Linked DNA regions of Schizosaccharomyces pombe. The gene in region 1 interacts genetically with each later gene. Each region holds a gene or a part of one and is shown on either strand. Other genes may lie near its edges. The genes, in order: pyp1, cdr1, git3 and ryh1.

Evidence for each region.
Region 2: of pyp1 (region 1) and cdr1, changing one enhances a phenotype caused by changing the other (phenotypic enhancement), as found in Schizosaccharomyces pombe (one study listed by BioGRID).
Region 3: of pyp1 (region 1) and git3, changing one suppresses a phenotype caused by changing the other (phenotypic suppression), as found in Schizosaccharomyces pombe (one study listed by BioGRID).
Region 4: of pyp1 (region 1) and ryh1, extra expression of one rescues a mutant of the other (dosage rescue), as found in Schizosaccharomyces pombe (one study listed by BioGRID).

What each region holds. Positions count from the first base shown.
Region 1 is NC_003424.3:5,159,584-5,163,874, forward strand, and holds pyp1 (protein tyrosine phosphatase Pyp1), read left to right. Parts: upstream 1-1,928; coding exon 1,929-3,581; 3' UTR 3,582-3,777; downstream 3,778-4,291. Other genes in the region: GTPase-activating protein Gyp51, read right to left, coding at 4,158-4,291. UniProt on the Schizosaccharomyces pombe protein: Plays a role in inhibiting the onset of mitosis. Dephosphorylates sty1/spc1 and wis1/spc2/sty2.
Region 2 is NC_003424.3:2,678,942-2,684,170, reverse strand, and holds cdr1 (serine/threonine protein kinase (NIM1 family) Cdr1/Nim1), read left to right. Parts: upstream 1-1,763; 5' UTR 1,764-2,624; coding exon 2,625-4,406; 3' UTR 4,407-4,703; downstream 4,704-5,229. Other genes in the region: dut1 (deoxyuridine 5'-triphosphate nucleotidohydrolase), read left to right, coding at 5,122-5,229. UniProt on the Schizosaccharomyces pombe protein: This protein, a dose-dependent mitotic inducer, appears to function as a negative regulator of mitosis inhibitor wee1 by phosphorylating and inactivating it.
Region 3 is NC_003421.2:1,541,801-1,548,114, forward strand, and holds git3 (G-protein-coupled receptor Git3), read right to left. Parts: upstream 4,296-6,314; 5' UTR 2,782-4,295; coding exon 1,381-2,781; 3' UTR 533-1,380; downstream 1-532. Other genes in the region: single-stranded DNA-binding protein Ssb2, read right to left, coding at 1-114; meiotic recombination protein Rec7, read right to left, coding at 6,088-6,314. UniProt on the Schizosaccharomyces pombe protein: G protein-coupled receptor (GPCR) that senses glucose and signals via the heterotrimeric G protein alpha subunit gpa2 to activate adenylate cyclase and PKA signaling, and suppress sexual development and gluconeogenesis.
Region 4 is NC_003424.3:1,192,163-1,196,972, reverse strand, and holds ryh1 (Rab family GTPase Ryh1), read left to right. Parts: upstream 1-1,827; 5' UTR 1,828-1,936; coding exon 1,937-2,059; exon of another isoform or gene 2,060-2,102; coding exon 2,103-2,262; intron 2,263-2,339; exon of another isoform or gene 2,340-2,341; coding exon 2,342-2,453; exon of another isoform or gene 2,454-2,565; coding exon 2,566-2,776; 3' UTR 2,777-3,359; coding exon of another isoform or gene 3,360-3,776; 3' UTR 3,777-3,827; coding exon of another isoform or gene 3,828-3,911; 3' UTR 3,912-3,962; coding exon of another isoform or gene 3,963-4,057; 3' UTR 4,058-4,131; coding exon of another isoform or gene 4,132-4,194; 3' UTR 4,195-4,268; downstream 4,269-4,810. Other genes in the region: pseudouridine-5'-phosphatase Pud1, read right to left, coding at 3,360-3,776, 3,828-3,911, 3,963-4,057, 4,132-4,194, 4,269-4,311, 4,381-4,428. UniProt on the Schizosaccharomyces pombe protein: Has a role in retrograde traffricking of proteins from the endosome to the Golgi. Involved in protein transport to the plasma membrane. Involved in the secretory pathway where it has a role in acid phosphatase secretion.

The DNA.
Region 1 (4,291 bases):
CTATTAAGTGATATCATTGTTTGGTGCTCCAAGATATACCTATTTCTACTTCTTCTTCTCTTTCTACATATCGCTCGCTCGTCCTCTCCCTTCCTCCTCTTAACCCTTTACTTGCTCCCAATCCTTTTTATCTTTTGGGTTTCCTGTTTAAACGTTGGGTAAAGTATAAGATTGGATCTTATTTTCATCGTCGTTTTGTTGGATCGTATGAAAAATTTTACCTTGGTTCGTCGCTCAGTCCTTGCTCTGATCGTTTGGTAAAAATCAAAAATCGTTAGACTTGATTTCGTTGACGTTTAGTGCGTTTAATTCTCTTTCTTAGATTTTTTCCTCCATCCTTCATCTCGTCAACAGTTCTCTCTGTTGTCTCTCCACCGCTATACGTAGCTTTTAAAAGTCGTTTGTTTCATTACCTGCGCCCATCTTTTCTTTTCTAAACTTTAACTCAAAGTGAATAAATAGGAAGAACTAGTCTTTTTTCCTTCCATAAAAGAGCACCAGATATATCGTTGAATCGCCGTGCTTTTTCTATTTGCTTCATTTTTTTATCCCGTACGATGCAAAATAGTTAATTTCTTCAACTTTTCTCAACTTTTGTTTCACCACTTCTTTCTCTCAATTGGGTTAGATTTTTCTCCTTTTACATTTTTTTTATACCTCCCTCTTTTTTTTTCTTGTTTCCTTTTCGTTGATATTTTCATATTTTCGGAATTCTCCTTTTCTAGTTATCCTATTTCTCGTTTCATCATTTTCTTTGTCTTTTCTCAAAAAGGTGTACTCTTGGGTTTCTTTCCACAGTGTAGTATCGCTTTTTTTGAACCTTTGAAGAGCTCATATATTCCTTTCCCTTGAGTTTTTCGGATTAAGTTTTGAATTTTTTTCCCATTTTCTTCATTGCTTTACCGTTTGTTTTCACTTCACTTTGGGGTCTTGGTGGTTACTTGTCTATTGTTTTTTTTGTGGGGTTCTGCATTCTGAATAGTTCTGTTTCTTTTTTTCTGAACTCATCTGTCTAAGTATTCACCATTCATTTGGTTTATTTACAGACGTGTGCTCTGTAATTTTCATCCTTAGTTGACCTTACGTTTTTGCTAGTTTGTTGCATCAACGTGCTTTTGGTTCCCCCCTTTAGCTTTGAATACGCTTCTGACTTTTAAATTGGGTTTTCTGTTTTGTAGGAAAATTATTCCATTGTCATTACATTTCAATTAGCCTCTACCTCTTTTCGTTCCTCGATCTCCTACTTGTATACTTTTCTGCACTTTGACAAACTGCAACTTATAATATTTCTTATACCCTCTATCTTATATTTTTGTTCAGTCTGGTTACTGTTTTCGTGCGTGTGCCCTACCTTTTTGCATTTTCTACTAAATACGAAATAATTTCTTAAATAGTGTTGCTTTTTGCAATCTTGCACTGTGCACTCACAAGCAGTATTTTTATTTTCCTCTTAAAATCGCTTGACCTTTGAAGTGACGATTCATTAATCCGTTAATTTTTAAGGATTCCCCCTTTTTATTCTCATATTTGCATAGTACTGATTCAAACCCATTCTTTGAATTGGATACTCCTCATCCCCTCTAAAACTCTTCCATCTTTATTTTCTGCAGAAAGTTTGAATTGAAAAACTTTTTTCATCTCAGACTTGATTTGAATCTTCTCTTGTTTCCTTCTATATTTTACTAATTTTATTGCCAAATTTTGCGTTAATTCTTTCCTTTTTAGAACCCTGGATTTTCCGTAATTTTGATATTTCCTATCCATTCATTATTTTGCTTTCGGCCTTCAAAACTTGTGCTATCCAATATTTGTATTTTATTTAAGAAGTCTGAATTTTTTTTTACTTTTTTACTTTTTTTTTTAATCATCTCTGCTTCTTTTTTAAGGCCAAATATTCTTAATACAAAACATTCATCTAAAAAACCACGATGAATTTTTCAAACGGTTCAAAATCGTCTACTTTTACAATTGCTCCTTCGGGTTCATGTATTGCTTTACCTCCTCAGCGGGGTGTAGCAACGAGTAAGTATGCTGTTCATGCTTCTTGCCTCCAAGAATATCTCGACAAGGAAGCTTGGAAGGATGACACATTGATCATCGACCTTCGTCCCGTATCCGAGTTTTCCAAATCTAGAATTAAGGGCTCCGTCAATCTTTCTTTACCTGCAACCTTAATTAAGCGTCCTGCCTTTTCGGTCGCGCGTATCATCAGCAATCTTCACGACGTCGACGACAAGAGAGATTTTCAAAACTGGCAAGAGTTTTCATCCATTCTTGTTTGTGTTCCTGCTTGGATTGCTAACTACGTAACGAACGCTGAGGTAATTGGTGAAAAATTTAGAAAAGAATCCTATTCTGGTGACTTCGGTATTTTAGATTTAGACTATTCGAAAGTCTCGGGCAAGTATCCATCTGTGATTGACAACTCTCCTGTAAAAAGTAAATTAGGTGCTTTGCCTAGCGCTCGCCCCAGATTGTCTTACTCTGCTGCTCAAACTGCTCCTATCTCTTTGTCCAGCGAAGGCTCCGATTACTTCTCTCGTCCTCCTCCCACTCCTAATGTTGCCGGTTTGTCTTTAAATAACTTTTTCTGTCCTCTACCTGAGAACAAGGACAACAAATCTTCTCCATTTGGCAGTGCTACAGTCCAGACACCCTGCTTACACAGTGTGCCCGATGCTTTTACCAATCCAGATGTTGCGACCCTCTACCAGAAGTTCTTGCGCCTGCAATCATTGGAGCATCAACGTCTAGTTTCTTGTTCGGATCGTAATTCTCAGTGGAGTACCGTTGATTCATTGAGTAATACATCGTATAAGAAAAACAGATATACCGACATTGTTCCTTACAATTGTACTCGTGTGCATTTGAAAAGAACTAGCCCTTCAGAGCTCGATTATATCAATGCTTCCTTTATCAAAACTGAAACTTCAAATTACATCGCTTGCCAAGGTTCTATTTCTCGTTCTATTAGCGATTTCTGGCACATGGTATGGGACAATGTGGAGAATATAGGCACTATTGTTATGCTTGGTTCATTGTTCGAGGCTGGCCGCGAAATGTGTACTGCATATTGGCCAAGTAATGGTATTGGAGATAAACAAGTGTATGGAGATTACTGTGTCAAACAAATTTCGGAGGAAAATGTCGATAATTCTCGATTCATTTTGCGAAAGTTTGAAATTCAGAATGCCAATTTTCCTTCAGTTAAAAAAGTACATCACTATCAATATCCTAATTGGTCTGATTGTAATTCTCCTGAAAACGTGAAATCTATGGTTGAGTTCTTAAAATATGTGAACAACTCTCACGGATCAGGAAATACTATTGTGCACTGCTCTGCCGGTGTTGGTCGGACAGGAACCTTTATTGTACTAGATACGATCCTACGCTTCCCAGAAAGCAAACTTTCTGGTTTCAATCCTTCTGTCGCCGATTCTTCAGACGTCGTTTTCCAGTTGGTTGATCATATCCGAAAGCAGCGGATGAAGATGGTTCAAACCTTCACACAATTTAAATATGTGTATGACTTGATCGATTCTTTGCAAAAATCTCAAGTTCATTTCCCGGTTTTAACATGAAATTTTTGACTGGATTTTTCTTGGCAATATATATTCGTGTTTTAATCGATTCCTTTATTTCTTGTACTTGTAAAGTGTCTTTTTTTTTACATTTGCATTTGAATTTACTGTCAATGTTTGTGAAATTCAGTTGCTTTAATCACGTTGTCTTTTATTTCAAAAAGTATATTTGAGAACTAGGCTTTTTAATGATATCTTTTTTTCTCTTAAATTTTCTTTTTAGAACTTTGTAAACCTATTTTTTGTACAAGATAAAGTCATCAAACTGATAATAACCTTGTATTATTTTCAGATGCTTTTTAAAATTTATTACTCGATTTCTTTAGGCAGAAATATAGAGTTTAAGCGAAGTGGTCGTGATCAAGAGCAATAGAATTCTTTCTTCACTGATTAAAGGTGAGACGATTCATTAAATATACATTCATTTGAACTATCGTTTGTATGTTTTTAAGTAAGACAAACTTGCAGGAACAAAGATTTTTTATAATACACATTAAACGTAACTCAATATAAATAAATTATTATGGCAATCATTAGGATGCAGATATTCCAATAGTACCTAGAATGCTTTTATATTCACTTTGTCTTTATGCGGTTCATAAGCTGACTCCATTTTTGTAAAGCCATCATATGGTCCTCGTCTAAAACGGCCAAGTTAACTTTAGTTTCAGCAAGCTGCTTTTCTTTTCTAAAGATTTCATCTTCGAGAG
Region 2 (5,229 bases), 2.5 Mb from region 1:
GTATGACAATGAGATAATCTTACACTGCAATAAGGCCATATACCCGTAGTTGTTGGTACGACCACTCACATTCCAAAGTCCAACTCAATAGTGAAGAAATTCATCATTGGCAACAAGTCATCAACACTTCGTTGCTGTTGGACACTTCTACCAAACGTTCTTTATTGACAACTTTGAACGGCTTCGGCTGCATTCCCGAGCCCTGTAACGCCTATCTTTCATGTGGCTCGGAATGTAAACCAGAAACTCAGACAAATACCGCTGTTGGATCGCACTGATGATATTTGTTTATCGAGGCTGTGTTCATTTTTCTTAGTCATTTTAGCGTAACGAACTGACACCGAAAAATATCAAGCAATCAAGTAGATCCATCTGTCCAAGCACCAACCACATCTTTGCTCGATAATCAAACTTGGATTACCGATAGTTAAAGGTGAAGGATCGGTTTTGCTGGTTTCATTCGATTTTCCAAACATCGTCGATTCAGTAGACTGGGGTTGAGTCAGTATCCAAGCCATTCTTGCGCTCAATTGATAATTATGGTAGGTTACCCAAATGTTGTATGCCAACTGTATTACTTACCCGTGGTTATATTTTGAAAACAGCGAAACTGTGTAAACAATTTCTGTTTGTTTCTCAATTGTTTGTGGCGTACACGTATTGCAGCTCTCAAGTTGCTATAGTATATTTTTATTGTCTAATAAAAATTTAATGAATTTATTTAGTTGAAATATTTGCAGTAAGAATGTTCATGTTGATATACCATGTAAAAAAGTCACATAAAGTTGAGCAAGCTGAAAAAGAATAAGTTTTCGCCTCCAAATATAAAAATTTCAATTAAATTGTAGAAAATTATAGATTCTTTATAATATCGTAATTTCTTAAGCGGGGCCTATAGTCTTTCATCAACTTTTCACGACAGTCGTTGTTATTCATACCATAGGATGAAGACGATTTCAAACATCCAATATTCGCTTATAATGATGAAATGAACTTCAGTAACCCGTTCAATACATTCATTATATACTGAGATTTCATCTATTATTGAAGCAAGTTTCAATGTTTGGCATGAAGCCGGCTCTAACACTTGTCAGATTTCAAGTACCTGTTTTCATTATTTTTTTTGCTCAAATTTTCAAAAAAAGTGTAATGGCATGTGTTATCAGATATGGTATGCATCATGTCCCTGGTTATCCCCGAAGTAGAACGGGTTCTTGACCGTGCTACCAAGTCGTGTTACTTTTCGATGAAAAACTGGAATTCCCTGCTAAAACTACACGAGTAAAACAAGAAAAAATATTCATCTATTGCAATAACTTGCTCCTAGATTGCCAAAACGAGTACTACGTAAACAAATGTGAAAGAAGCAGAAAAGACTGCTAAAGTTGCTTTTAACGAAAATGTAAATAAGAGAAGAAAAGACAACTTTAACGGTTCGATTTTACTACAATATGAATATTAATTAAACTTCATAAAGCGAAACTGAAAAACTAAATAAAATTTGCTCTACAGCTATAAATCAGCTGTTAATATTCAAGTTTTTATCAAGACAGCACTATGAGCCTGAGATTACCACCCTCAAGGACTAGAAACCAAGTAGTGGATTGCTTCCGTTCCTTAAGTCATCCTATCGTGATCCGCCGAAATAATCGTAAGCCTTCAATACACTCTTCATATGTTCCCTGATCAAGTCCAAGTAGTGCCCCACCCTTCCCTACTCTTGAACACTTATATCCGCTCCTCCAGCATTCATGTTGTCCTCTGCCAAACTTATCTTGGCCAATTCCGTCTTTTGGACTACTCTGCATAAGAACTCAGCATTGTTTTCGATTTTAGGAATTGCTGGGATCCTGTTTGTATTAATATTGTAGATCGATATTTTGAAACATCTGTAGGCCTTCTATATAGTGGGTTGTTCTACATATTATTTATTTATTCATTCATCTTTCTTTGTTTTACTTACTGTTCTCCATATTTTTATCTGATTATACAGGGTTTGAATTAAAATCCGTTAGTTTATTTTATTCTACCTTTTTCAACTATTTGACCGCCCCAATATTTCCATTTTTACTTTCTCCTTTCTTGTTTCTTCTCTCTTTTAATTTATGAAAGTTCAATCCTTATTCGAATATCATTAACTTAACCTTTATTGGATTTATACATCACGAATCTTATACACTTTACATACTTTCTTTATTTTACGCTCCCCTTCGTTTCTTTTTCTTTGTCTTTACCTTTTTTTATTGCTGTTACTCAAAACGTCTTGTAACTTACATTTGTTATTTGTGTTCTTGTGCTACTTCCCATTTTTTTTTCAAGGTCCGTCTATTTCCGTTCCACGTTTCACTTTTCTGTTCTACAATACACTCAGAAAAGTGCTTTAGGTTATTTATGAGGCACTCTTATTTTATTAATTCGTTTCCAGTATCTATTTTGTGATCACACCCTATTTTGTATCGTGGTGTCATTCACTTTTTCCTTTACTTATTCCAAATTTCATGCTACTTTTTCGACATTTATTCTACTTTTCATCATAAGTATTTCAGATTTTCTGAAGTTGCTATTATTCAGTCTGCAATTTTACTTTTGGAAAGCCTTTTCCCTTAATAAAAGGTTAGATTTGAATGGTGAAGCGACACAAAAATACTATTGGCGTATGGCGTCTTGGGAAGACTTTAGGGACTGGTTCCACTAGCTGTGTGCGTCTTGCCAAGCATGCTAAAACTGGTGATTTGGCTGCCATCAAAATTATCCCTATTCGATATGCCTCCATAGGAATGGAAATCTTAATGATGCGTTTGTTGCGCCATCCTAATATTCTTCGACTATACGATGTTTGGACCGATCATCAGCATATGTACTTAGCACTCGAGTACGTCCCTGATGGTGAGCTTTTTCACTATATACGCAAACATGGACCTTTGAGCGAAAGAGAGGCTGCGCATTATCTTTCCCAAATTCTTGATGCTGTAGCGCATTGTCATCGCTTTCGCTTTCGCCATCGGGATTTAAAACTTGAGAATATTCTCATCAAGGTAAATGAGCAACAAATTAAAATAGCTGATTTTGGCATGGCCACTGTTGAACCAAATGACTCTTGTCTTGAGAATTATTGCGGCTCTTTACATTATTTGGCTCCCGAAATTGTATCTCACAAACCATATCGTGGAGCTCCTGCTGATGTTTGGTCTTGTGGTGTCATCTTGTATTCATTGTTGTCGAATAAGCTCCCCTTTGGTGGTCAAAACACAGATGTTATTTATAATAAGATTCGCCATGGCGCATATGATCTTCCTTCTTCAATTTCTTCGGCTGCGCAAGATTTGTTACACAGAATGCTAGATGTAAATCCAAGCACGCGTATAACAATTCCGGAAGTTTTTTCTCATCCATTTCTAATGGGCTGTACATCATTGAGCTCTATGGATAGCACTACCCCTCCTACCCCTTCACTGTCAATTGACGAAATTGATCCATTAGTAGTTGATTGCATGTGTGTGCTTTGGAAAAAATCATCCTCTAAAAAAGTCGTTCGTCGTCTTCAACAGCGAGATGATAACGACGAAAAATATGTGTATAAAGTTTTATCCGAGATTTTGCGCGATGATATGTTGAAAAAACAACGTTTTGATGAAAATAAATATCTCAGTCTTTACGATTTAATTCACGACAATAATCTTTTCACCAAAGCTTCTATTTCAACAACATCGTTAGTAAAATCCAATGTTTCGACAAACTCTCGCAAAAGTAGTAATTTTGAAGATGAACTTGCTAGAAGAGTTTCTAGTCCGCTTTCAGCCTTAAATCAAATGTCTCAATCTCCAATACCGATCAGGGTGTCTTCTGACAAGGATTATGACAGCTATGCCTGTCATGAAGTAGTTTCAAACCCATCGACTTTGGATGATGACTATAATTATATGTTTGTTTGTCCACCAGAAGAGTATACTTATTCAACTGATAATGTTAGAACTGATTCTCTGGACTTACAATCTCTCCCCACTCCTACCCTTGAGCAATTAGAATCCGTACCATTCAATCGGTATGGCTATGTCCGCATCTTTCCTAGCACCACTCTGTCTAGCACAGCCAGTGGCTACTACACTCCTGATTCACTTTCAACTCCTGAACCATCAATAGATGGGCTAACCAATTTGGACGATGTCCAGGTTGGAGGCTTTGTTCAAGGATCAGGCAATCAAAATAGACGTCCCATATCTTTTCCTGTAATCAGTAATATGCAGCCGAACATAACTAATGTGAGATCTGCTTCTGCTCCTTTATGTTCATCTCCAGTTCCAAGTCGGAGATATTCTCAATATGCTACTAATGCAAGATATACTCCCAGAAAAGTTTCTTCCGGTTCTGTATTACGAAAGATTTCTTCATTCTTTCGGAAGGATTAAATAGGAATTTTTTCAAAAACACAGTCTTCTTCCTCAAAATCAACCATTAATGTCTATACTGTGGGCGGCTATTCAAATGTTAAGATCTGTTTATAATTTAATGAGGATGATAATTATTTTTTTTGGATCTCCCGTCGTGTGTACCTGTACCTTTCTACGAATTTAATGATCTTTTTTGGCAATTGGACCTTTGAGTCTATTAGCAATTTAATGGTTTTAGGGTTTTACGTTATATATCTGTTAATGATTTGGGCACACTAGTTTATATATGTAACTAATGAATATCTTCTATTACAATCGCTTTCCAGAAATCAGTAGTCTGTATAAAGTAAAATTTTGTTGTGAACATTAGTTTTATATGAAATTTGGGTGTTTTTATGTAATAACGTCTGTTGGTTTTTGAAAATTGTCGAATATTCCGGAGTGTTTAGTAATAAAATTGAGGTTTAAGAGTTATCGCAATAAATAAAATATGAAGAAATAATTCCTATAAACGTTTACCTCTTTAGAAAGTTTTTATACACTGTCTACGTTTATATATTAGGTATGTTGTACGGTGTATATCTTGACTAAATGTAAACAAACGCGACGCGCCGTCAACCGCAACGTGTCGCGTAACTTCAAATTTATATGCAACGCCAGTATCTATTGCAAACACTCATTCCCAATCAAGAATTCTATTGTCTGTGAAATTACACAGTTTTATAGTTTAAACATGAGTTTTTTCGTTCAAAAACTTTCTGAAAAAGCAACCATTCCTACTAAAGGCTCTGCAAATTCTGCTGGATATGATTTGTACGCGGCTGCTGAATGTATAGTTCCA
Region 3 (6,314 bases), on another chromosome or scaffold:
GGGCTGGCTCGATTGATCATATTCATTAAATCCAGCGCCTCCTCCCATTCCTGGAGAAAAAGCGCTATTGAAGTCGGGACCATAGCCCGGCTTGCCAAAAGCATCATAAGCCATGAGCACGTATTATCTCAAATTATGAAAGTTTGTTAGGGTGAATTAAAGAGCGATGAAAAAGCAAATCAACCACTTAAAAATATATCTGCGATCTTTTAGAGAGTGATTTTTAAATAATTGAATATAAAGTTACAGCTGATTCCACGAGTAGTCTACTTTTCAGTGGTGTGTTTAGTACAAGTTACGAGTCGCGTTTCGCGGTGGTGTACCGAAAAGAATAAAATCAAGCAAGCGTGCTTATATACTACAATGTAATAAAATTAACTGTTTTATTTAGAAAACCATCTTACATCTACTTTTTTTCTCTATAACCGTATAGTTTTCAATACAAAAACCTACTAATCACGGGATGCTCAATTGACTTAAAACGCTTAAAGCAATCAGATACTGTGCTACCATTCTGCTTTACCAAATGTAAAGAAAAACTAAAAAATACATTATTAAATTTGTAAACATTAACACATTCATATGTAACAAGAAGGCATGGAACAAATGTCCGACGCAATTTTACAAATCGTATAGGAAGAAAAGCGATTTATCCACAACAAAAGAATAGCTAATGGTGAATGACTATTCGCACATCGACATATACAAAATAAGAACATAAACGTATTGCTATGCACAATCCATCCATTTTATGTATTGAGGAAATATAGTATTGGGGACATAAATTTTGAATATAGTTTTGAAGACAGATGCTTAATGCAAGCAGTAAAATGTAAGAGCATCTGAAAAATGAAAACGAGTGAATGATAGTTGGTAAAGCTGAACATAAACATTCTATATAAGGAAGAATTGTTTAGGCGACTAAGCGTTCCAAAAATGAATTCCCCGAGATGAATAGAAAACTGTCATAGACACAGTACATATATATACATCGATAATTGTGAGCGGCCTTATCAATTTGAAGCAGCCAAGCTTTAAACCATCTTCCAATCCGAGCCTTTTGCCAAGTTAAGTAGTGCCAAAATTTAATACTTCGAAATAAATTCTGGGAAGCGAAAATTAAAGTATGACATATATTAGAGGTGATGCAAAAATGGGAGATATTAAAATATTAGTTGGTTTACCACAGTTGTTTCCATTCACATTCCATTGTCATTCACTGGATGGCTTTAACAAAAAAGGAAGACATATGAATGCAAAGGCTATGAGAAAATTTTAAGAAGTAAAGTGATAATAAAATCGTCATAAAAAGAAATTATAATACAAGAAGAGGAGCTTGTGAGACTTCACCATAAACAAAAATAAAAAGAACAAATCCTTCTATTTTTCCTCACCAAATTTACCCCGCCACCATTTTAAAGTCAACTCCTTTATTTGATCCCAATAACTTTTACTCGAATCTCTTTCCTTCAAATACGTGTAGCCACGATAACAAATCCAAATAAAATCTGACAAGGCAATAAAGATGGCAACGAAGTTGTCTGCAAAGACTGCAACAAATGCGAATCGTTTGCATGAACCAGAGCAGTGCAACGGTTGGGCAAGTATAACGATAATCTGTATTTGAGGGAGAATCCACATAAAGATAAAAATTGCAGGATAAGCAAACAAAAACTTAGACTGACTTAAAATGCGTTTCCGTTGTTTAAGGAGGGGATCATCTTGCATATCATTTCCATATGCAGCCAAAACACTAGAAGCACCATCTTCGTCACTAGTCAATGGACTACTGAGTTTAAAACTCGTGTGATCTTCAAGGCCATTTGTGCGATTTGGACTATCCCTAAAATCCTGTTCGAAATGTATTCCTGATTGATTTAGATTAGCAGGAGTAGACTGCGAACCAGGAGGCAAATTAGGATGCACAGAGGATAGTAACGGTCTCGAATAGGGAGAAGGTTGAGACTGCGAGGAGTAAATGGATTGAGAATTAGATGGAGTATATGTTAAAGTACTGTTGGTGTCGGGAAATGGTGGAAGAGCTACTTGATCCGGAGCGGTAGGATACGAATCAATGACATTTAAAGTATCAAACACATTTGTTTGTTGATGTGAGTATTTCTTGAAACGTTTGATTTTCCTTCTGATCGAGATGAACATGCAAGTTTGTAAAGCAATAATTGCAATACTTAGCGCATAATCAAATGACCAATTCAAACCAAACATGAATCGTACAGGGGTATAGGGAAGGTAGCATCGGGTTTGTAAATTGACAAATGTATTTCTTTTATTGGTAAAAGCAAGTCCGCCAATAGTTAAAGGAATTACAAATGACAGTGTAAACACAGTATGCCGAAAACGATATAGACCCCTTCGTTCAGTATCAACATGGGGGAAAAGCACCAAAAGAGCATTATGCAATATGTTGATAAAAATCCAATAATCAGTCATCCGAACAAGTACCAAAAGAAAAAATCCAATTGTAAAGCATCGATGTTTTGGAGCCCAAAAAAAAGGATCGCTTAATGCTAGACATGGATGAATCATTTGCACAATGGAACGAATAAACAATACAGAAAAAAGAGCGATATGAAATTGTTCACGTATTGTTCGCCGACGAGACCATCGCCAGAAGATAGCAATTAAGCTGAAAACGATAGATATGGCTGAAGCTATAATGACCATGATTCTCAGGTTAGCTAACTCTCTGCGAGAGACAATGATGATGGAACTCGTACTCGTGGCATCGGAAACATTAAACGTATAATCTAAATGAAGCATGAGCAACCTTGTTCCTTATTACAAAGTTTAAACTTCTCTTCAAGAAGACAGGAAAAAAAAAGAGAGGAGAGGAGGTGAGAAAGTAAAAAACAAGAAAAGCAATATCAGAACGAAAAACAAAAAAAAAGACAAAAAAAAAAGGAATACTCCAAAGACAAATCTATGACTTCAGAAATGTTCAAATAGACAAACAAGAAAGCAAAACAGAATTTTCAGCCACTTGGGTAATCAGTCCTATTACCCTTAAGAAGTGCAAAAAATAGTATATCTCGTATATCCAATTACCCAAGATTGCATATCTGACCCTCGATTTTCTATAAATTGCTTCGTTCGCGAATATAAACAGTCTCTTCAAGTTGATGTAAAAAACTTAGCAAACTGGCAATATAGAAGGAGCTCTCTAAACTAAACGAGTTTGTTTCGAATATGAATTTGAATTCCCGTACTTTTATTTTTGTTTCTGTTTTCTTTTTTCCAAAAACAAGCTTCTCGTCTTTACTTTTCAATTAACTCAACTATTCTTTCGAAAGTTGTAGACACACGATTAAACTGTTAAAGGTAAAAGTTGAAATAGTAAATCTACTGCTTTTTCCTTTAATCGTGGCCGACGAAGCAGCTCAAAAGTGATAAACGAATGCAACCAGGAAAGCCGGACGCAAAACGGTGCCGACGATTATTAATAAAGCGCAGTCCCGTCTCGACACTCTTGGCAAGAAGAAAAGCGCAATTGACGTGAACAACCAACGATGTATTGTGCTTATAAAGAAAGCACTAGTGAAGTCACTTAGAGCTCAAAGCCACTTATGCACGTTTTGCAAGGCTCTTAATAGCGTGGCGAACCTTCTTAAGGATATTGAAGAATAGGGAAATCGGAGGCGGTATGGCTTGCAATTAACGCCGTACAGTGAATAAAGCGGTACTAAATCAAATCGGTGAAATTTACCGATAATTAAGGAAAAGACAAATCAATTGAAGGCGCCGTGGTTTGGGTTGGCTGATGGAGTTGGCTTGATTATAAGTAATGATGGCGGAGAGTTGCCGCCTTTGCTGTTGTGTATGAGTGTGTAGTGAATATGCACAAATATACCTCAACGACTAATGGATAAGGTGTTATAGCAAGTACAGTAGTTAAGTACCAATGCGGGATTTTTCTGAAAAAATATGCAAGCACACGGGCTTGACAGAAACACAAGAGGAGACAAATAAACCAAAGTCTCCGCACCTTAAGTCCACAGAAGAAGAATAAAAAAAAAGATCGCAATTGAATTATGTGAGGGGGCCCAGGCGTCAATAGTACAGAGTCGATTGACTAAGTAGATTTAAGATCACAAGCTGTAGAGCAAATCAGAAATTTGCACCTACGCAGAGACAATGAACAATTGTAATTTCAGAAAAAAAAATATCGACAACGATTCAAATTCCGAGTAATTTTCTAGCAAGACTATTGAAGAAAAAATTTCCCTAATCCCTTGATGAGCCTTGTCGCACTAACACAATATCGGCGATGCTTTCACACTCCTAGATGTGCTACCACCAACCATTATAACTTATGAAAAAAATTTGTAGTATCGCTGTAAACGAAATTTTTGTGTAAGAATGACGAGAGTTGTTTTTGCACAGACAAACGAGGTTCGGACGATCGGCCTATTTTTTAAGTACGATAGTGATTAGTATAGTATATCGTGAGGAGCAAATACAATCGCATAAAAAAAATCAGGGTGAAAAGAATCATTTCAGAGTGCGTTAATGAGAAAGTCCTCGTTATAAAAGAAAAAAAGGAACCGATGATTTAAAGTTATTGATGGTTTTAAAAAACAGCGTTTATTTTTACAGTGTTTAAAGTCAAGTCAATATTAGGCACAAGAAGAGGTCACACTTTATTTTCAAAAGAAAATGGATGAAATGCAACTCCATGCGTTGCGATAAGCGTTAAACACCAATCTAGGAAGCAGTCCCTCAACAGAAATGAAGCGAAAATCGAATGATGGTGAGAATAGAATAATAAAACGAGCCCCGGTAAATTGAAAGTTGATAGAATCAAGTTTCAATTAGGGGTAATGAAAACGTGCTTAAAAATAGGGAGTAATGTTGTAGTTACCAAAATGAACAATTCGGACCAGACCAATAAATATTGTCGAAATAAAACAAGGAGTGTTAAATTTTATTATTATGTCTTTATTCTCCTTGGAAACCGGTTCGTCCACGTGAAGAGAATTCTATTAGCATTGTCGAAACCGTTTGATCCGGTTATGCCTTCATATCTTTGAAAACATTTCCGCCAATTCCACCAAGTGAAAATCACAATATCGTTAGTCGGTATTGTCTTTAGGTTTACTAGCGGGGGCGTTTTTGTTTTGAGGAAAAAAGAATATTCTCTGGTTTCCATCTACCTTAAGTGCCGATTAGGCAGATAAGCTAGATTAAGTGAAATGGGAAACGGGATTCATTTTCCATTGACAACACTTTTAAACATTATTTGATAATTCGCATGCAACCCTTCAAAGTCGATTCGACATTTTAAGGTTTACTTCACGGACATTGAAATCATTGTGAAGCTTTGTAGACTGTTGTCTCTCTCGGAAGTACCCAAAAAAAAAAAAAAAATCCTTTTTACACTCATAACGTTCTAGCTGTTTCATCCCTTTAAAAAATATCATGTTTTTTTTTTGGTGCTCGGAACATTTACTTTCTCCACTTGGTTCGTCTATTTTTGAAGTTAAACTAACTATTTGACCATTTTCGTACTTAATGTCATGAACTCCTCTCGTGGATTGTTAAGTCAATTATCAAAACCAACCACCAACTCAATTTTAACCGTTGTAACCTGACCCATTATTAACACTAGTATTCATGCTGTACTTGCGGCAATTCCCCCATCAAAAAGTTTTCAGAGTTGTCTTTTGATACCGATTATGTGTCGTGGTGGAGGCTTACACCCCAAGGATCGGAACGGGATCTTCTCAATTTGATTTTAATGCTCTGCATGGACAAGCCTAAGGGAAAAGAGTCATGCAACAAGTAGAGAAATTTATTTCAACATTGTTGTGTTGGCGGTTTCTGTTTGCTAATCCTCAGCAACGATCATATGCAGTTGAGATCTCGACCAACTTTTCGTTAAATAATGTCAAAATTTGCAACAAATGTTTTATCACGGTACTCGAAGAATGTGAACTTAATGAAGTTTCTCATTTGGTTGCCAAATTGTGGTCACACATCAATTTTGTCGAAATAACCATTCCGATCCTGATTTCGTTCCATTTTTACTACTTTTTTAAATTTGGGATTAAGTTGAATTGGTCTGTCTTCCTACATCTTGTTCCATACCCGTTCCAAACTTTGACATAATTGGATGAAGCTGTCTTGTTTTAGATAGAATAATACCTTGGAGCGTAATTGCTTTTCCTCTTCAGTAAGTTCTGTTGGTAGGATTTGTGAAGTCGTTGGGGGTGATGGAATCAAATTTGCGTATGCTTGGTTCTCCGGTTGAGCAACCCACGAAGCCTGTGTCTGAGAGTTCAGCGGCGTAGCAGCAA
Region 4 (4,810 bases), 4.0 Mb from region 1:
TATAATAAAATCGTAATAAAGAAATGCAATACGAAGTTAATTTCTAATGCTTTGTATAAAAATATATAAATAAACGATGCCTGGGCTGCCAATAATGGTACGATGAAGTAAAGGTTGCTAACTTTGGGGCTTATTGAACAAGCGTCACTAAGGAAAGACAATTTAAAATTTCCTTTTGAAATAATTGGTGTTTAATAAATAAGTAAAAGGAAGAATCGCCAAAAAATTGGATTTTTCATTTAATTTTGTCGAAAATGGGGAAAGGAGAGGCAGTGTAAGCTACATTAGTCGGAGGGCTTAGACACAAAGTTGTGAGCTGTAACGTATAATATTGAAATTTTGCGATATTTAAAGTGCTATAAATTTGACATTGGAGAAAATAAATAAGTAAATAAACAATGAATTATAGAAGAAGATAAAAGGAACTGAATGAATTGTATATCTTAATAAACTAGGTAAATTTTTTTCTCTTTTAAAAACATGAGTGAAATGAAATGGCGCTACACATCTAAAAATTGAAATACATCAAGACACTTTACAAAAAAATTTCTAAATTGAATCTAAAATCAAGTTCTTTTGTTTTTAACCCCATTATCTTTTTAAAGATTCTAAATAATCTAAATTAATCGTTTGAACCAAATTTTTTATAGGATATATAACTACATATTTACTTTTTAAATTCTTTTTCATCTTATCATTAAATTCCGAGATTTTTTATTCCAAACAGCAGCTAATAATTATGAAATAACTTAGTTTTTAATTCTCTTATCTTTCTTGAACTTTTCGTCATATTGCAATAAGGATACAAATAAAAAAAAAATTTATTTTTAAAAGAATCTAAGCTTGAAAAGCCATACTATTTACTCTTTTATTGATTTCGAAAATTATTAAATTAAAACCCACTAACTAACCTGTTATTGTTGACATTAAGTATAAAATTTGACTTGGCTGTTCCGTAGCTAATTGTATCATTAATGAAATGACCGAGTTTGCTAAATTAACTCGAGTATATTTTCCTGTAAAGCTTATATTTTGCTTAAATCTGACTCGTTTAACAGCTAGTTTTATTCAAGTTAACAAACATACATTTTTCGAACAGTTTGGTGCAGTCTGCCAATCTTGAACTTGGTAGCAGACAGGATGCGTAGATTATGAAACATTCTAATAAAATTTCAAATGGAATAAAGCCATTATGTTGAATTTCAAGCTTGTTCTATGGTTTAACTACTTTCCATTTTCCTTCTTTCATCAGCTACTAAACAAAAAAATTACCTTATACTTTACTAATATGCTGAAGCCTTCAATGTTTGGGCATGTGATGCAGTGGTAGCATGCTCGCTTTGCATGCGAGTCGTCCTGGGTTCAATCCCCAGCGTGTCCAATATTTTTTTGTAAACTTAGCTACTCTCAGCAAAAATTAGGCCATTCCAATCGAGAGATTTCTTGTATTATATAGTTTAATGATAATCAAATCTCGATGACTCCTCCTTCCCATGCGATGTGGCGCGTTTTTATCCCAGTTGTCATTCCTTGAAATGTTGTGTATAAAACTATGAGTAGTAAACAAACTGTTGTTACAGCTGTATGTTTTTTAACACCCAAAAACCTATCACTATCAACAACTCAAAGAAAAAGAACCCATCTTTAGGAATGCTTAGTAATTTAAGAACGGTGAGAGTTCATGATTTCTTTTTCAGCGAAAAAGTTGTTTGTTATAGAATTACTTTACCGAGATTAAACTTCGTAAAAGCGAATGAAAAGTAAAACAAGCGAAAGTATATTAAGGATATGCGGCGGGATCTCACTGTAGCACGATAGTCTTTACTCACTACTACCACTATTAAGTACGGTGCTTTTTGATCATCAATAAGCAATTCCGTCTGTATCTAAATTACTTTTGTCTGTGTATATTTAGAAGTCAAAACTTTTTGTCATAATGTCAGAAAATTACTCGTTTTCTTTGCGTAAATTTAAGTTGGTTTTTCTCGGTGAGCAGTCAGTTGGCAAAACATCGTTAATTACACGATTTATGTACGATCAGTTTGATAATACTTATCAAGTAAGTAACTATAATTAAAACTTCTTTACTAACAGGGTCCAAGGCTACTATTGGTATAGACTTTCTAAGCAAGACTATGTATTTGGAAGATCGAACGGTTCGTCTTCAACTATGGGATACTGCTGGTCAAGAACGTTTCCGTTCTTTAATTCCTTCGTATATTAGGGATTCTTCTGTTGCTATTATTGTTTACGATATCACTAGTAAGTAATAGTGGCACAGTAATTTTGCCATATATTTTTACTCAGACTTTATTTTCGAATATCTGCTAACTACTTATAGACCATAACTCTTTTGTAAATACTGAGAAATGGATTGAAGATGTTCGTGCTGAGCGGGGAGACGACGTTATAATTGTTCTCGTTGGTAATAAAACGGACTTGGCTGATAAAAGGTATGACACTCCAGCTAACAGAGATTCAGCATTTACAATGCGACATCTCTTCATTCATAATTCCAAAGCTATATTTTGGTTTTTGATGGTTCTTATGCTAACGGTGGTTTAGGCAAGTGACTCAAGAAGAAGGAGAAAAAAAGGCAAAAGAATTAAAAATAATGCACATGGAAACTAGTGCTAAAGCGGGTCACAATGTAAAACTGTTGTTTAGGAAAATTGCACAAATGTTACCAGGCATGGAGAATGTGGAAACACAAAGCACTCAAATGATTGACGTTAGCATTCAGCCTAACGAGAATGAAAGCAGCTGCAATTGCTAGTGTATCTCATTGAACATGTCAGTGTACTCTAACTGTTTCGTGAATTATTTTTTTTCGCTTCAGGCCGCAATCAGCGGTTTTTAATGTCATTTGACCCTCAAAAAGTATACTGTGAGTATATATATATCTTCTTATAGCCCCTAAATCTTTTGCACCTTTAAAGAATCGCGATTCCTTTTATACCTGTTTCCTTTTCCTTCTTTTTTTACTTGTTTTAGTCCTTTTTTATTTTAATCCTGTCTCTATGATATATGCTTTACAAAAGTGAGAAGTTGAATTTCTGAATAAGTCTCTTTCGTTTAATCCCTGCGGTGCTTCTTGACTTTTCAAGGGCATTTGCAAAGAAGGAAAAAAATTACAATGTATGATTTTGGAATTCAGAGAAATGTTATTATTTTTTTTTTTTTAGATTTCGCTTTTTCCCTTTACTCATAAGTTATTTATGCTATGTGAGTCAGTTCAAGGTTTTCATTGAAACAGTAGAACTTTATTTATACTTCAATTTTTTAATTTTATTAAAAGATATGAGGTTTTTTGCCAAAAAAAATTGAATGAACCAAAAAAAAGTTAGCGGATATAACCTCTAGGCCTGCTTTGAATTTATGTTAAGATATTTGTTTATATCAAACTCTGAAAGACTCGGTAACGTCTCACATTGAGAATCAACAATCTCATTCAGCTGATCCCCTACCAAGTTTTTGATGGCAGCATCTGGAACCCAAATGACATGCATTCCTGCAGCCTTTGCACTTTTGACACCGGGAATACTGTCTTCAAAGGCAATGCATTGGCTTGGTGTAAGTGCCTTCAAACCTCGCTGCTTCCTACTTTCATTTATTAAATTCAACACCTTCAGCCAAATGTCTGGAAAAGGTTTGCCACGACCAGGTGCAATACTAGGATTATCACCTGTAATAACATTTTTACCAAATTTCTCAAAAATATGTTTAAGATGGGCTGTCTTCATATTATAATTTGCGGTATTAGAGGAAGTAGCAAGCTGGTGATGCTGTTAGCACACTTTTATTATAGCGTAGGGATGAGTACATACCCCGATATCAATTCCATGATTGGAGAGGTTATTAATCAAAGATTCAGCCCCAGGCATAGGCTTCAAAGACGACCAAAACTTTGCCTTTCAGAAAGTTAGTTGAAATGGAAATAAATGTAGCGTATAAGTACGTACCCGAATAACCTGTTGTTCATCAACGAATTGTTGAGGAGTCATAGGAATGTTGGACCAATCTATAACAACCTTGGCAGCTGCGGAACCCGGTCTCCCTACGTATCGCAAGTTAGACCTGCAATTTTGAAAGCATTTTAAAATATCTCTTCGCTAGCTTTATATAACATACCCATCATTTGAGCCTTAACAGAAATAGGAAGAGGATCCTTGCCATACCTGTCCAATATAAGATCTATAAAAAAAATAAAGATTAGAAAACATTGTAGTTTTGTGCTAAATATAAGCACAGATATATTATTTACATACTGGTCGTCTTTGTATAAATAGTTTCACTGTCGACAAGTAGACCCTGTAAAAAGAGTGATTGTTAATGCAAAAGCTTTCATAAGAGGTAATGTGGTGTGAAAAATAAACATACATCCATATCGAATAGACAAGCCATGTATTTTACGTGTTTAGCAGCCATTTCTAGGTAAAAAGATAGTGAAGCTTCTACGACCTAACAAAACCAAAGAAAAAAAAAAGCAGAAAAAAAACTTCCGGGATATCCAAAAAATCAAGTTTCAAAAAAGTATATTGCTGTATAACCAATAAAAAAGTATAAAATCTTCCAAAACAAGAATTAACAATTAAATATACAAATACAATTAAAGAAAACAAAGACACCGACAAATGAAGTGTTAACTGTATATCTAATTAAAAAAATCCGCGAAAAACCAAAAAATAAGGACAGTTGTTAAAGATCAACAAAGAAACGTCGATACAGTAAGGCGTGATAATTAGGCAGAATGAAAAATAGCTAAATCCCAAAACTGTGCAAACTGCAATAAGTAATCAACAATCGTAGA